Linked DNA regions of Oryzias latipes. Each later gene encodes a partner of the first gene's protein in a complex. Links are inferred from orthologs where the notes say so. Each region holds a gene or a part of one and is shown in the gene's direction. Other genes may lie near its edges. The genes, in order: ik, sf3b3 and zmat2.

Region 1 (3,328 bases):
ACTTTGACTCCCCTGTCTGCTCACTTGATCCATCATCTGTAATTTATCACGAGTATTGATGATCGATGCTTGTCCACCTGCAGCTACTATGCTAAACTGCGACAGCAGGAGATGGAGCGAGAGCGCGAGCTTGCTGAGAAGTACCGTGACCGAGCGCGAGAGAGGCGGGACGGCGTCAACAAGGACTATGAGGAGACGGAGCTAATCAGCACTACGGCCAACTACCGAGCCGTTGGACCCACTGCTGAGGCGTGAGTACCAGAGCGCAGAACATGACACTGCAGACAGCTGCAGCAAAAGGATGTTCCTGTCTGTATTTCCTAATGTTCCTGTGTTTCCTGATGTTCCTGTTTCCTGATGTTCCTGTGTTTCCTAATGTTCCGGGGTTTCCTGATGTTCTTGATGTTCCTGTGTTTCTTAATGTTCCGGGGTTTCCTGATGTTCTTGATGTTCCCGGGTTTCCTGATGTTCCCTTGTTGCCTGATTTTCCACTGTTTCCTGATGTGCCTGTGCTTTCTAATGTACCTATGTCTCTGACCTTCTCAGTGACAAATCTGCAGCAGAGAAGCGTCGACAGCTCATCCAGGAGTCCAAGTTCTTGGGAGGTGACATGGAGCACACTCACTTGGTGAAAGGTCTGGACTTCGCTCTGCTGCAGAAGGTCAGGCTGGGCTGCTCCAAACATCTGGACCTGCAGAGTCGGGTCAGGAGGATTAACAGAACACATGTAATCTATCTTCTAGGTGAGAGCAGAAATCACTAGCAAGGAGAAGGAAGAAGAAGACATGATAGAGAAAGTCCAGAAGGAGGCCAAGTATGAAAGCAGAGCACACATCGTTATATTCTATCTGTCTGATTTACTGACTGTTTGTCGGTTTACCTGTCTGACAGGAAGGATGTGGAGCCGGAGGAGAAGATGGAGTTTAAGACCCGTCTTGGTGAGTGTGTGCAGATGCTACTTTTTGCTACTTTATGCTACTTTTTCAGTGATCGCTCTTCTAATAGATCAATTGTTTTTTTTTTCTGTAAGTGTATGTCCTCCAGGTGAGGCCAACATAGTAAGCAAACTCTCAGTGCAGCTGAAATTTGCTCTAATCTCAAATTTATATTAAATCTCACCAACATTTAGGCTTGTGTGCTTGAAAAATAAAGCTACGTGTTTAGTTTGGAGTTGATGACCTCATCCCCTCCCCCACATTGGAAAAAGTTTACTCTTATTTGGTTGACTTGATTAATTGACATCCGAAGCCACGCCTCTTATTCTATGCAGCGGGACCACAGAGTTTGAAACACTAGATGGATAATCTCTGAGATTTCTCAGAGGATTCTGAACTGCCCAAATGAAGCCTGAAGTGAGACAGGAACCTTAATCTGAAGTTCCTCTGCCAACCTCCTTAATGTTCCAGAATGTGTGTTTGGATTGAGACAAAGCGAAGTGAGAGCTTAGTTGAGTCTACCCACCTTCCATTCAAAGAAACCCCCCCCCCAATTAAGAATAGATAGGACTGGAAGTCTTTAAGACCTCAGGTGTATGTTGAAGGATGCTTTCATGACAGTCTGTTCTTTAAATGCTGCTTCTTCTCAGGCAGGAACATCTACCGGGTCGTGTTCCGATCCGGGGCTTTGGAAAGAAATGAGCTGTTCCTGCCCGGCAGGATGGCATACGTGATCGATCTGGATGACGAGTTTACCGACACCGACATTCCCACGACTCTGATCCGCAGCAAAGCTGACTGTCCCAGCATGGAGGCGAGTTTCTAAATCCACAGCTGTCCCAGGCCAGTGGATATGGTCGATGCTGAACTCTGACGTGTCTCCATGTTGGCAACAGGCTCAGACGACCCTGACCACCAACGATATCGTGATCTCAAAACTGACCCAGATCCTGTCCTACCTGAGGCAGGGAACCCGACACAAGAAGATGAAGAAGAAGGACAAAGGTGAGCCTGATGCATCTGCATGTGAGCATGCTCAGTACACCATAGATTAACTCTGTCTGTGTGTTTCAGGTAAACTGGATGATAAAAGAGCTCCGGAGACTGACCTCAGGTTAGTTGGTGTCTGCCCTCCCATCACCATTATTGCCCCCTTTGTTAGTCAGGGCCTCTGTAATGTCTTTATGTCTCAGCATCTTTGATGACATCGGGGACTACATCCCAACCACCGTCCCCAAACCCCCCAAGGAGAAGGAGCGCCACAGAGAGCGGGATGATGATGCTAAGAGGAGGCACAACTACTTTGAGAAACCCAGAGGAGAGGAGCAGCAGGTGGGTTGTAAAGAGAAGAGGGGAGGGGCTGCAGAGTGTTGTATACTAACTATATGTATGTGTGTGTCTGTGTGTGCAGGTGTTGGAGGTGGATACAGGTAAACCTCTGAATTCATATATTATTAGTAAATATCAATTACCAGTGGTGTTTTGTAACGCCTGTTGATGATTATGTCATCCATCCTGCTCACCTGGCAGGTCCCGGATCAGTGCAGGAGCACATCAAGATGATCAACAAGAACTTTGGAGGAGCTGCAGGCAGCCAGTGGCAGGGCCAGGAGCCATATCCTCTTTTTACCTGTTTGATAGCTTCCGGAGGGGGCGGAGCCTCCCTTTTGCATGTTTAGTTGTAGTTGTTTAAAAGTGGGTAGGGCTTCCGGATCACATGATCAGCGTTGTCTTTAATAAAAACAAACAGGATCTGTGAGACGAGATTCCAGCAAAGAGCAGCTGGGAGATTTCTTTGGGGGATCCAACTCGTATGCAGAGTGTTACCCGGCAACGTAAGGTTCAACCTGACACACTGACAACGCCAAAAAAAAGCACATACTGACAACGCTACAAACACACAACCCCACACGCCAACAACGATACAAACGCACAACCCCACATGCTGATAAACTAACAACCCTTCAAATGCACAATCTCACACACTTACAATGCTTCAAACACACAACCTGACACACTGACAACCCTACAAATGCACAACCTGACAGTCTCACAACCCCATAGCAGGTAAGGTAAACATTTTTGCGTTGCAGAATGGATGATCTCGCCGTTGACAGTGATGAAGAAGTTGACTACAGCAAGATGGACCAGGTAACTACATTTCCCAGCATGCAGTTGTTTTCTGAGTTACAGAGTCACTGGTATGGCTTCTCTGCTTTAGGGCAACAAGAAGGGTCCTCTGGGCCGCTGGGACTTCGACACTCAGGAGGAGTATTCAGATTATATGAACAACAAGGAGGCTCTCCCCAAGTGAGTTATTCCCTCAGCTGTGGCTGACAGGCGGGGTGTTCTCTTCATTCTGTGTCGGTCTGTAGGGGTTAGTGTGGTTCTTA
Region 2 (4,250 bases), on another chromosome or scaffold:
TAAGGATGCAACAATTAACTTTTGCCTTAAAACCTGAACTTTTGGGTCATATTTTTGTTTCAGTTTGATATATGATTTGTGTTTTACAAAACAACAACTAAAACTAAAAATTTCGATAATTTCCTAACATTTTCTAATAGGCAAAAAACAATGAGGAAAAACCATTCAGTTGGCTTATAGTAGGCCTGATGTAATGTAATAAAACAATAAATCCTTAAATTTAGTACCATTCTTCTTTGACACTTTCATCATAAACATACTTGTATGCAGTAGTGATGCAACACTACGATACTGAGTTTTAAACTGCCAAAATGTTATGTAGATGTGATGCTTTATTGTTTAATGCAAGCAGAAGAACATTATAAAATAAAATAAAAAGTGAGAAAGCAGAATCTATCTTTTGTACTTTTTTTGTTGGTCCTCTTTTTCTGAGTTGTGTCCTTGTTCTCAGGTGTCAGAGATGGCTGTTTCTGAGCTGCCTGGTAACCCCAATGCTGTGTGGACGGTACGCAGACATGTGGAAGGTAACCCTACATTTAATATTTCACATTTATATTTACACAAAAGAGTCTAATACTGTAGTTATACTATATCTCAAATATAAGACAGAGAACTTTTATTTTTAGGGTAATTATGTTTTAGTTGAGTTTAGATGACGCAAAGTATTTGATGAATTATTTTTTCTTGTCAAATTGTAAAATACAACTACATCTGCCTTGTCCTATTGAAAATGCCATATAGGTTTTTCATTTTGAATTAAACATAAAACACCAGCGAGTGAATTTCAGGAAATGTAAAGCATCTGCATCGTCGTCTGCCCCGACTGTTGATTGAAAGCAGATTGACTCTGAAATCACTAAGTAACAATAGTTTTAATGTAATTTATTCATTCATCTGTTGATCTTGATACCGACGGTCTACATCTGCCCCTGGGGGTGTGAGCAGCTGCTCCATCAGTACAATGAGTGCAATAAAAGTTGCCCCTCGCTCAATCTATAGATTAGATATAGTTAAATAATGAAAAATCTGCCGCGTGTCAGCTCAGCTTCTTTTCATTAACCTTTTTATATATGTGTGTGCTTCAATTGTAAGACTGCAGAGGTTTTTTTGTTTTTCACACACATCACTTTGTTTCTCTGTATGGCTATATAATATATATGTTATAATTGTTATAAAGGGTTTACTTCAAGCAGTTGTCTTCCTCTAAATCAGTGTTTCAGACTGCTGCCATGCACGTTTGACTTTTTTTTTCTTTATAAAACACACCTGATCCACCTCTGACCTAAACATGGTGGGACTGGAGAAAAGGGGTTCAGAAACACGGCACTAAAATAAAAGCTAAGCCCCTTTTCTTACACTTCTGTTTTTGTAGACGAGTTTGATGCCTACATCATCGTGTCTTTCGTCAACGCCACTTTGGTTTTGTCCATCGGAGAGACCGTGGAGGAAGTGACAGATTCAGGGTTTCTGGGAACAACACCCACTCTCTCCTGCTCTTTGCTGGGAGAAGATGCCCTGGTTCAGGTGGGTCAAAAGTCACCTGTAGGCCATTCTTCACAGAAATGTTTTGGTCTAGCATTTAATTTTTATTTTTTTTTGGTAGTCTACCTTGTGTGCCTCTTTTGCTAAATGTATTTTCTCTTTTTTACCGTTTTGGGGACAGGTGTACCCAGATGGCATTCGCCACATCAGAGCAGACAAGCGAGTGAACGAGTGGAAAACTCCTGGTAAAAAAACCATTGTCCGCTGCGCCGTCAACCAGAGGCAGGTGGTTATCGCCCTGACAGGAGGGGAGCTAGTCTACTTCGAGATGGACCCGGTAAGGCTTTTATTAGTGCTCCCTAAGTGCAACATCGAAAGGACAAGTTACCTGCAACATATCAATACTTTGCAGCAACTCTGTGGAATTGGTCAATAGACTTGATCCAAATGACTCGAGCAATGACCAATAGGCCGGATTTATACAAGTTTGAATGTGGTGTGGACGCGGGCAGCCAACGCTGATCCGTTTTTTGAAACATACGGTCTGCTGTGTTCAAAAATAAAAACCTAAATAAAATGAGTTTATGGTTGTAATTTCACCGTAACTCTGTAAATGAAATGATCAGATGGGTCATTTTGTCTATCAAAAAAAAAAAAATTTTTTTTTATGTCCTAAATACGAATCGGTTTTATAAGATGTGTTTTTATTTTACATTAGATCAGCTCTGTGTTGGATAGATTTATCCTCTTTGAATGAACATTATAGGTGGATTTTGGCATCATCTCAGGTTAACTGGCACTAGAGCATTAGAGGGGACTGTTTACCGCCACTGTTCTAGATTACATTCCAGTAGATCATCTTTGGGTTCTTGTAGTTTTTTTTGGGATCAATCCAAGAGGAATCAGAACTGTGCGGTTGCTGTTTGCAGGAAGCATTAGAACACTTCTAAAAGTTCTACTAGATGGAACAGTGTTTTGTGATATCAGTGCTTCATAAAGAGGACAATTGTGTATGTGTTCCTCTCATACTTGTGTCTTCTGTAGTCTGGCCAGCTGAACGAGTACACGGAGCGGAAGGAGATGTCTGCAGACGTGGTTTGCATGAGCCTGGCAAACGTCCCGCCGGGTGAGCAGCGCTCCCGCTTCCTGGCTGTCGGACTGGTCGACAACACCGTTCGAATCATCTCCTTGGACCCTTCGGTACAAATGCAAATCTGAATGGCAGTTTATCTTGACAACTGCTGTGTAGGTGGGGTTCTGTAAAGGGAAAAATGTTTTTTATTGGTAACCTGAGGTATGGATGTAGACTTGGCCATTCACACTACAGAGAGAAGGAAAGCTATTAATCATTCTCTTCTGCTGCCAAACACCTGTAAAAAGTGCTCCTAACATCAGGAACCGGTTTGAATGTGTAATTTTTTTTCCTTTTGTTGGGATGTTCACTGAATCCTTTTCAAACACTTTCCAGTGTGAGCTGGTGTTGGTGCGTTTTATAAAATTGCTACACCCTTTTCTGTGTGGAGGCTGCTCAGATCTCTGACTGACTTCCAGGAACATCAGAACCCAGACACTCAAATGGAAAATACTTCAGAGTGAATCTGCAGAGTTTTATTGGACTTTAATCACAACTGCAGAATGTAGAAGAGTTTCTTTTTTCACGTTGATCCAAAGAAGTGGTGACAAGGATCAGACAAGCTTCTTTATGCTTCACGTAATGCCTTTCTGGATATCTGGAGATCAGGAATTCCCAGGTTGTGACATTTAACATCTGGATAAAGGTGAAATGACTCAAATCAATCTACTTTTAATCACATGTCAATAGTTAAATTTCAAATTGTTTACACATTTAAAGCTGTCTATTAATATAATTGCAAAAGCTTCTTAAGTGATAATTTCCATAATTAGACAAAAATAGTTGAAAACACTATTTTCTACACAGCACATTTGTTTATTGTTAGAGTTCAGCAATCTGAACAAAAAAAGTATTGGTTTAGCTCTGGTTTCAATGAATTGAAGGCAACTTGACAGTAAAATGAACACAATCCAGTGTCAAAACTTCCAAATGGAAAGATTAAACGTCTCAAAACAACAAACCAGAACTTTGACCATTTAAAGTCCACTTATTAATAAGCTTAAATGATTTCTTTGTTTAAACCCGCATTAAAGGAAAAAAAAGTTCTCGTACTGCACTTTAAAAAATAAAACAAAATATCCGATCTTTAAAATAGGGCGCAGTTTGTCGTTAAGCCCTTCCCAGTTGCCAGAGAGTAACCTACCATGTGGCGACACTCATATTTATGGTTTAAGTTGGTTTATTACTAAAGTGGAGCAGGTCTGTCTGTCCTGAGAAACATCAAGTTACAATTAGTAAAAGAGGTGCCTTTGAAAGGGTTTTTAGTGGCTGCATTACATTAATCTGGGGGGGAAAAGTTATTTTGTACTTAACATGTTTATCATTTTAAAGTCAGACTTTATAATGCTTGTACGTGCAGAGATTTGTTTAAAGCCTTTCCATTTTTATCCCCTCTAGGATTGTCTTCAGCCGTTGAGTATGCAGGCCCTCCCTGCTCAGCCAGAGAGTCTGTGCATCGTGGAGATGGGAGGTGTGGAGAAACAGGACGAACTTGGAGAAAAAGGCACTATGGGCTTCCTCTACCTCAACATCGGGCTGCAGGTGTTTTAAAAAACTGTTTGTGGCAAATTATTGACGTCTTTTCTGTACAATTTTATTATAGGATGCAAAAGAAGACCACATTGGGTTTTTTTTT
Region 3 (4,350 bases), about 20 Mb from region 1:
CAATGCAATTGAACAATTTTTGAGAGCAAAAATGTATTTTATTGTTTTGTATGAACACTCAATGATTTCATCATCAGAGCACAGTGGATTCATAAATAGTCTTCATGCATTGCTCATATTGATTAGATTTTAACTTTGGGAAATCAGTGATGTCATATTCGCAGTTTTAAAATAATGAAGTCAGCAAGGTGTCCTAATTGCTTTTAAAATCCGGGACATTGGATAGTCCCACACTTATAGTTTTATTAGTAGTTAGGGATTAGGGTGGGAATTCGGACATAGCCAGTGAATTGTCTGAACTCAATGAGTTATATCGCTAGAGGAGACACGCCCGCTTGGGAAGCCTGGCCGACGGTGGCGGAACGCAACGCCATCTTGGTGAGGTCAACGACGCCTACATGACAATGATTTCTTTAGCCTTTGGTAGCATCTAAGTAGCTTTTATATAATTTATATTTATTCAAATTTCTATATATTTATACATATAAATAAACACATGATAAATGTATATAATTTTTATATATATACATCATTTGATGCTTTTAAATAAGAGAAACAGTCAGCTTTAAAAGTTCAAACTTTAATGAAAAATGCATTGTTTTTAATTTTTAAACATTTCCAAGTTTTAGACCTCTTTGACATGTAATTGAAATTATTTAGAAAAGCCCAACAATAAGTCAATAATAATAATAAATAATAACAATATATAAATAATAAGTCAATAATAATAATAAATAACAAATATAAATAATAAGTCAATAATAATAATAATTAATAACAATATATAAATAAGTCAATAATAATAATAATAATAATAATAATAATAATAATAATAATAATAATAATAATAATAATAATAATGAATCAATAAATAATAATAATAATAAATCAATAGTAAGTCAATAATAATATTGAATGATAAAAATAAATCAATAATAGGTAAATAATAATAAATGATAATAATAAATCAATAATAAGTCAACAAAAAGTCCAAAAGTCAACAACAGATTTTCCCCTTTAAAAAAACAAAGAAAAGAAATAGATTTACCTCCTGATTCATGTTAGTGATAAATTTGTGTGACACAGTTGGTTTAGTGTCGGGTTTCAAGCTAACAGTCTGGCCAGTCTCATCAAAATCTGTTTCCTCAAATTGTTTTGAACATAGCCAGACTGTATTACTAGTTGGTACCACAGTGATCCATCTGGGTTAGCTCTTTTTATTGCTAAGGCCCACTTTTTCCTTAAGTCTGAATCCATTGGAAACCTGCAATAAAATTTCAGTCACTGAGTCAGAAATGTATAAATCTCTATTACTATAATAGCCTAGTATAATGTATACAGGTTTAACACAATAAAGTTTACATTTATATCGACAGCAAATTATACGTACATCATGCCTACATGTTGATAATCGCCCTGCAGCATCATGCATGAAAACATGTGTATGATTAATGATGCCCCTGCAGCATTAAAAGAAAAAAATATATAATACTTACCTGTGAAATGTTATGCCTTCCTCCTTCGTGGACTCATTTCTCTGATTTTGGCAGTTGAAACCCGAAAAATGAACTGGTATTTTGCAAGAAATGTGTTCACATGCATGCACTACAGCAGTAATTTGACCTCACCAAGATGGCGATGCTCTCCCCCCTTGAGGAATCACGTGATGTCTCCTCTACCGATAGAACTAAATTTAGACAGGAAACTAGCAATGACGAGCTGCAACATCCGGTGACGTATTTTCCGTAGGTAAACAAGATGGCGTCCGGCAGTGGGGTGAGTTTCCAAGCAGAATTTCTCTGCCCCTGTTTGTTGTAATACAGTTTAATTCAATAAACAAGATTAAAATTCTTCACTTTATATTTGGTACCGTGGAGGCGTTTTGACTGTAACCGTTACAGACATCAGCTGCTGCCGTTAGAAGCGCGGCCTCGGACTAGCAGCGGCTAACTCGCTCTGACGCTTGGGTACTTTATTTGCAGAATTTTACGGCCCTTTTTAAAAAAAAAAAAAATTAGTACCAAAAACGTTTTGACTCAACCGCCGTTAGTTTTTATCTTTAAAGGACTAATTCAAAGGTGTAACGAATTCCGGTGTGGCAAAATAAAAGCTCTTGAAGTTTATTTCGTAAAGCCGACTGTGATGATAATAAATGAAACTGTAATAATAAGGATAATGTCCTTTTTGGTTTTTGCAAATATGAAACAATGTTTCTGTTGCTATATTATAAAATTTATAAACCCACCCCTGTTGAAAATGTTTACTTTGATAATATGAATGAAAGGGAAGAGCTGTCGATCAATACAGACCATGAATTTCTGCTTTTTTTTTTTTTTTTTGGATGCTGGTGTGCCGCGGGATCTTTTTCAGGGTTAAAGTGTGCCGTGGCTCAAAAAAGGTTGAAAAACACTGGTCTAGAGTGACTTAGGGTTTCCTGTCCTGTAAGCACAGCTCCACCAGCAGGCGTATCCCCCTGGAGCCTGACGGCACCATGCATTTGGAGAGCTGATCAGTTTCAGGCTGCAGCTGCAGCCAGGATCAGGCTGTTGAACGGAGATTTCTGAAAAATCTAATGTTCATTATGAAGGATCTCTTTGGACTCATCTGTTTATCCAACATGGATGCTTCCCGTCAGCTGGATGTTCGGCCTGAGCCCTCCCCTTATCTCGGGTCACGGAGTAGGAACAGCCCTTTTCCCAAACACCATTAAATACGAGCAGCAGCATGGCTCACGCATAAATCATGGGTCACACGTTCCCCATGATTTGTGCGTTCATCCATACCTCTCTGAGCTTTTGGAATCTCGGTTAAGCTCATATCTTTCCCTGGAGGGACAGAGATCCAGGAGGAACCTCTGGGAAGAGCCAGCTCCTCCTGTTTGAGCTTGGAAGGTGCACAAGGCGTCAGCTCTGACAGTCCAACAGGCATCTTCACCGTCTGCATTTAAACATTCTTCTGACGAAGCATGAGGCTTTCCTGCTTTTGTTCCTTCTCTGTTGTTGTGTCTCTGTGGTTCTGTTTTAGAGTTTTATCAATGAAGTTGAGTTGAGAAGCTGTTGCTCTTTTGTCAGGAGGAGTAAAAGCTCCTCGTCTTCATCAGCTGAATGTTTGTTGAGATGTGAAGATAATCGAGGCGCTCTGAGTCATCTTCTCGTGTCTTCCAGTCCAGCAAGAACGACTTCCGGCGGAAATGGGACAAGGACGAGTACGAGAATCTCGCTCAGAAGCGGCTGAACGAGGAGCGCGAGCGGGAGCTCAGGGATGGTGAGGGCAGCGCTCTCCGTTCTTTGGGGACCCTTGGGGGTCAATCGCTTATCACCCCTGACGCATGACCTGTTGGCTCTTTCAGGAAAACCTGTCCCTCCCGTCAAGCGGGAGCTCCTGCGGCACAGAGACTACAAAGTGGATCTGGAGTCCAAACTGGGGAAAACTATTGTCATCACCAAGACCACCCCTCAGGCGGAGATGGGCGGGTGAGTTCCTGACGGCTTTGGGTTTGGAAAAATGGAAAACTGAAACTCTTTGAACCAATAAGAAAAAGTTGTGGAGCAGAAACGGACAGGTCTGGGTTCTGGTTCCGACATATTTTTTTTTTCAGATATTACTGCAATGTTTGTGACTGTGTGGTCAAAGACTCCATCAACTTTCTGGATCACATCAACGGCAAGAAACGTAAGTACACCTGTGCTTTAGGGAGGGGCCAAGAGCGCAGATGTAACGTGGATCATTTTATACAGTCAGGTCCATAAATAATGGGACAGCGACACAATTCCAACATGTTTGACTCTATATGCCACCAAAATGGATTTGAAATAAAACGAACAAGATGTGCTTTAACTGCAGACTGTCAGCTTTAATTTGTGGGTATTTCCATCCAGATCAGGTGAACTGTGTAGGAATTACAACAGTTTGCATCTGTGCCTCCCACTTGTTAAGGAACCAAAAGTAATGGTCAGAACAATAATCATAAATCAGACATTTACTTTTTAATACTTGGTTGCAAATCCTTTGCAGTCAATTCCAGCATGAAGTCTGGAACTCACAGACATCTCCAGACGCTGGGTTTCATCCCTGGTGATGCTCTGCCAGGCCTCCAATGCATCGGTCTTCAGTTCCTGCTTGTTGTTGGGGCATTTTACCTTCAGTTTTGTCTTCAGCAAGTGAAACATTGCATAACATTCCACTTCTTTCCCTTAAGAAGGCCTTTAGTTGCGGTTGCAGTTTGCTTTGGGTCATGGTCCATCTGCACTGTGAAGCGCCGTCCACTGAAGCATTTGGCTGATCATGAGCCCAAAAGCCTTCAGAATTCATCCTACTGCTTTTGTCAGCGTTCACATCATCAATAGATAG

Evidence for each region.
Region 2: ik (region 1) and sf3b3 share a complex: the UniProt entries of both Homo sapiens proteins name them as parts of the spliceosome B complex. The link is inferred for Oryzias latipes from reciprocal best matches to the Homo sapiens genes IK and SF3B3.
Region 3: ik (region 1) and zmat2 share a complex: the UniProt entries of both Homo sapiens proteins name them as parts of the spliceosome B complex. The link is inferred for Oryzias latipes from reciprocal best matches to the Homo sapiens genes IK and ZMAT2.

What each region holds. Positions count from the first base shown.
Region 1 is NC_019872.2:23,306,674-23,310,001, reverse strand, and holds part of ik (protein Red), read left to right. Parts: intron 1-83; coding exon 84-251; intron 252-546; coding exon 547-661; intron 662-743; coding exon 744-814; intron 815-891; coding exon 892-938; intron 939-1,585; coding exon 1,586-1,749; intron 1,750-1,831; coding exon 1,832-1,940; intron 1,941-2,009; coding exon 2,010-2,049; intron 2,050-2,128; coding exon 2,129-2,267; intron 2,268-2,346; coding exon 2,347-2,365; intron 2,366-2,465; coding exon 2,466-2,550; intron 2,551-2,683; coding exon 2,684-2,770; intron 2,771-3,028; coding exon 3,029-3,086; intron 3,087-3,156; coding exon 3,157-3,245; intron 3,246-3,328. UniProt on the Homo sapiens protein: Involved in pre-mRNA splicing as a component of the spliceosome. Auxiliary spliceosomal protein that regulates selection of alternative splice sites in a small set of target pre-mRNA species. Required for normal mitotic cell cycle progression.
Region 2 is NC_019864.2:25,110,234-25,114,483, forward strand, and holds part of sf3b3 (splicing factor 3B subunit 3), read left to right. Parts: intron 1-451; coding exon 452-524; intron 525-1,372; coding exon 1,373-1,524; intron 1,525-1,663; coding exon 1,664-1,819; intron 1,820-2,526; coding exon 2,527-2,682; intron 2,683-4,012; coding exon 4,013-4,156; intron 4,157-4,250. UniProt on the Homo sapiens protein: Component of the 17S U2 SnRNP complex of the spliceosome, a large ribonucleoprotein complex that removes introns from transcribed pre-mRNAs.
Region 3 is NC_019872.2:3,288,195-3,292,544, reverse strand, and holds the start of zmat2 (zinc finger matrin-type protein 2), read left to right. Parts: upstream 1-1,687; 5' UTR 1,688-1,758; coding exon 1,759-1,776; intron 1,777-3,164; coding exon 3,165-3,264; intron 3,265-3,349; coding exon 3,350-3,473; intron 3,474-3,598; coding exon 3,599-3,672; intron 3,673-4,350. UniProt on the Homo sapiens protein: Involved in pre-mRNA splicing as a component of the spliceosome.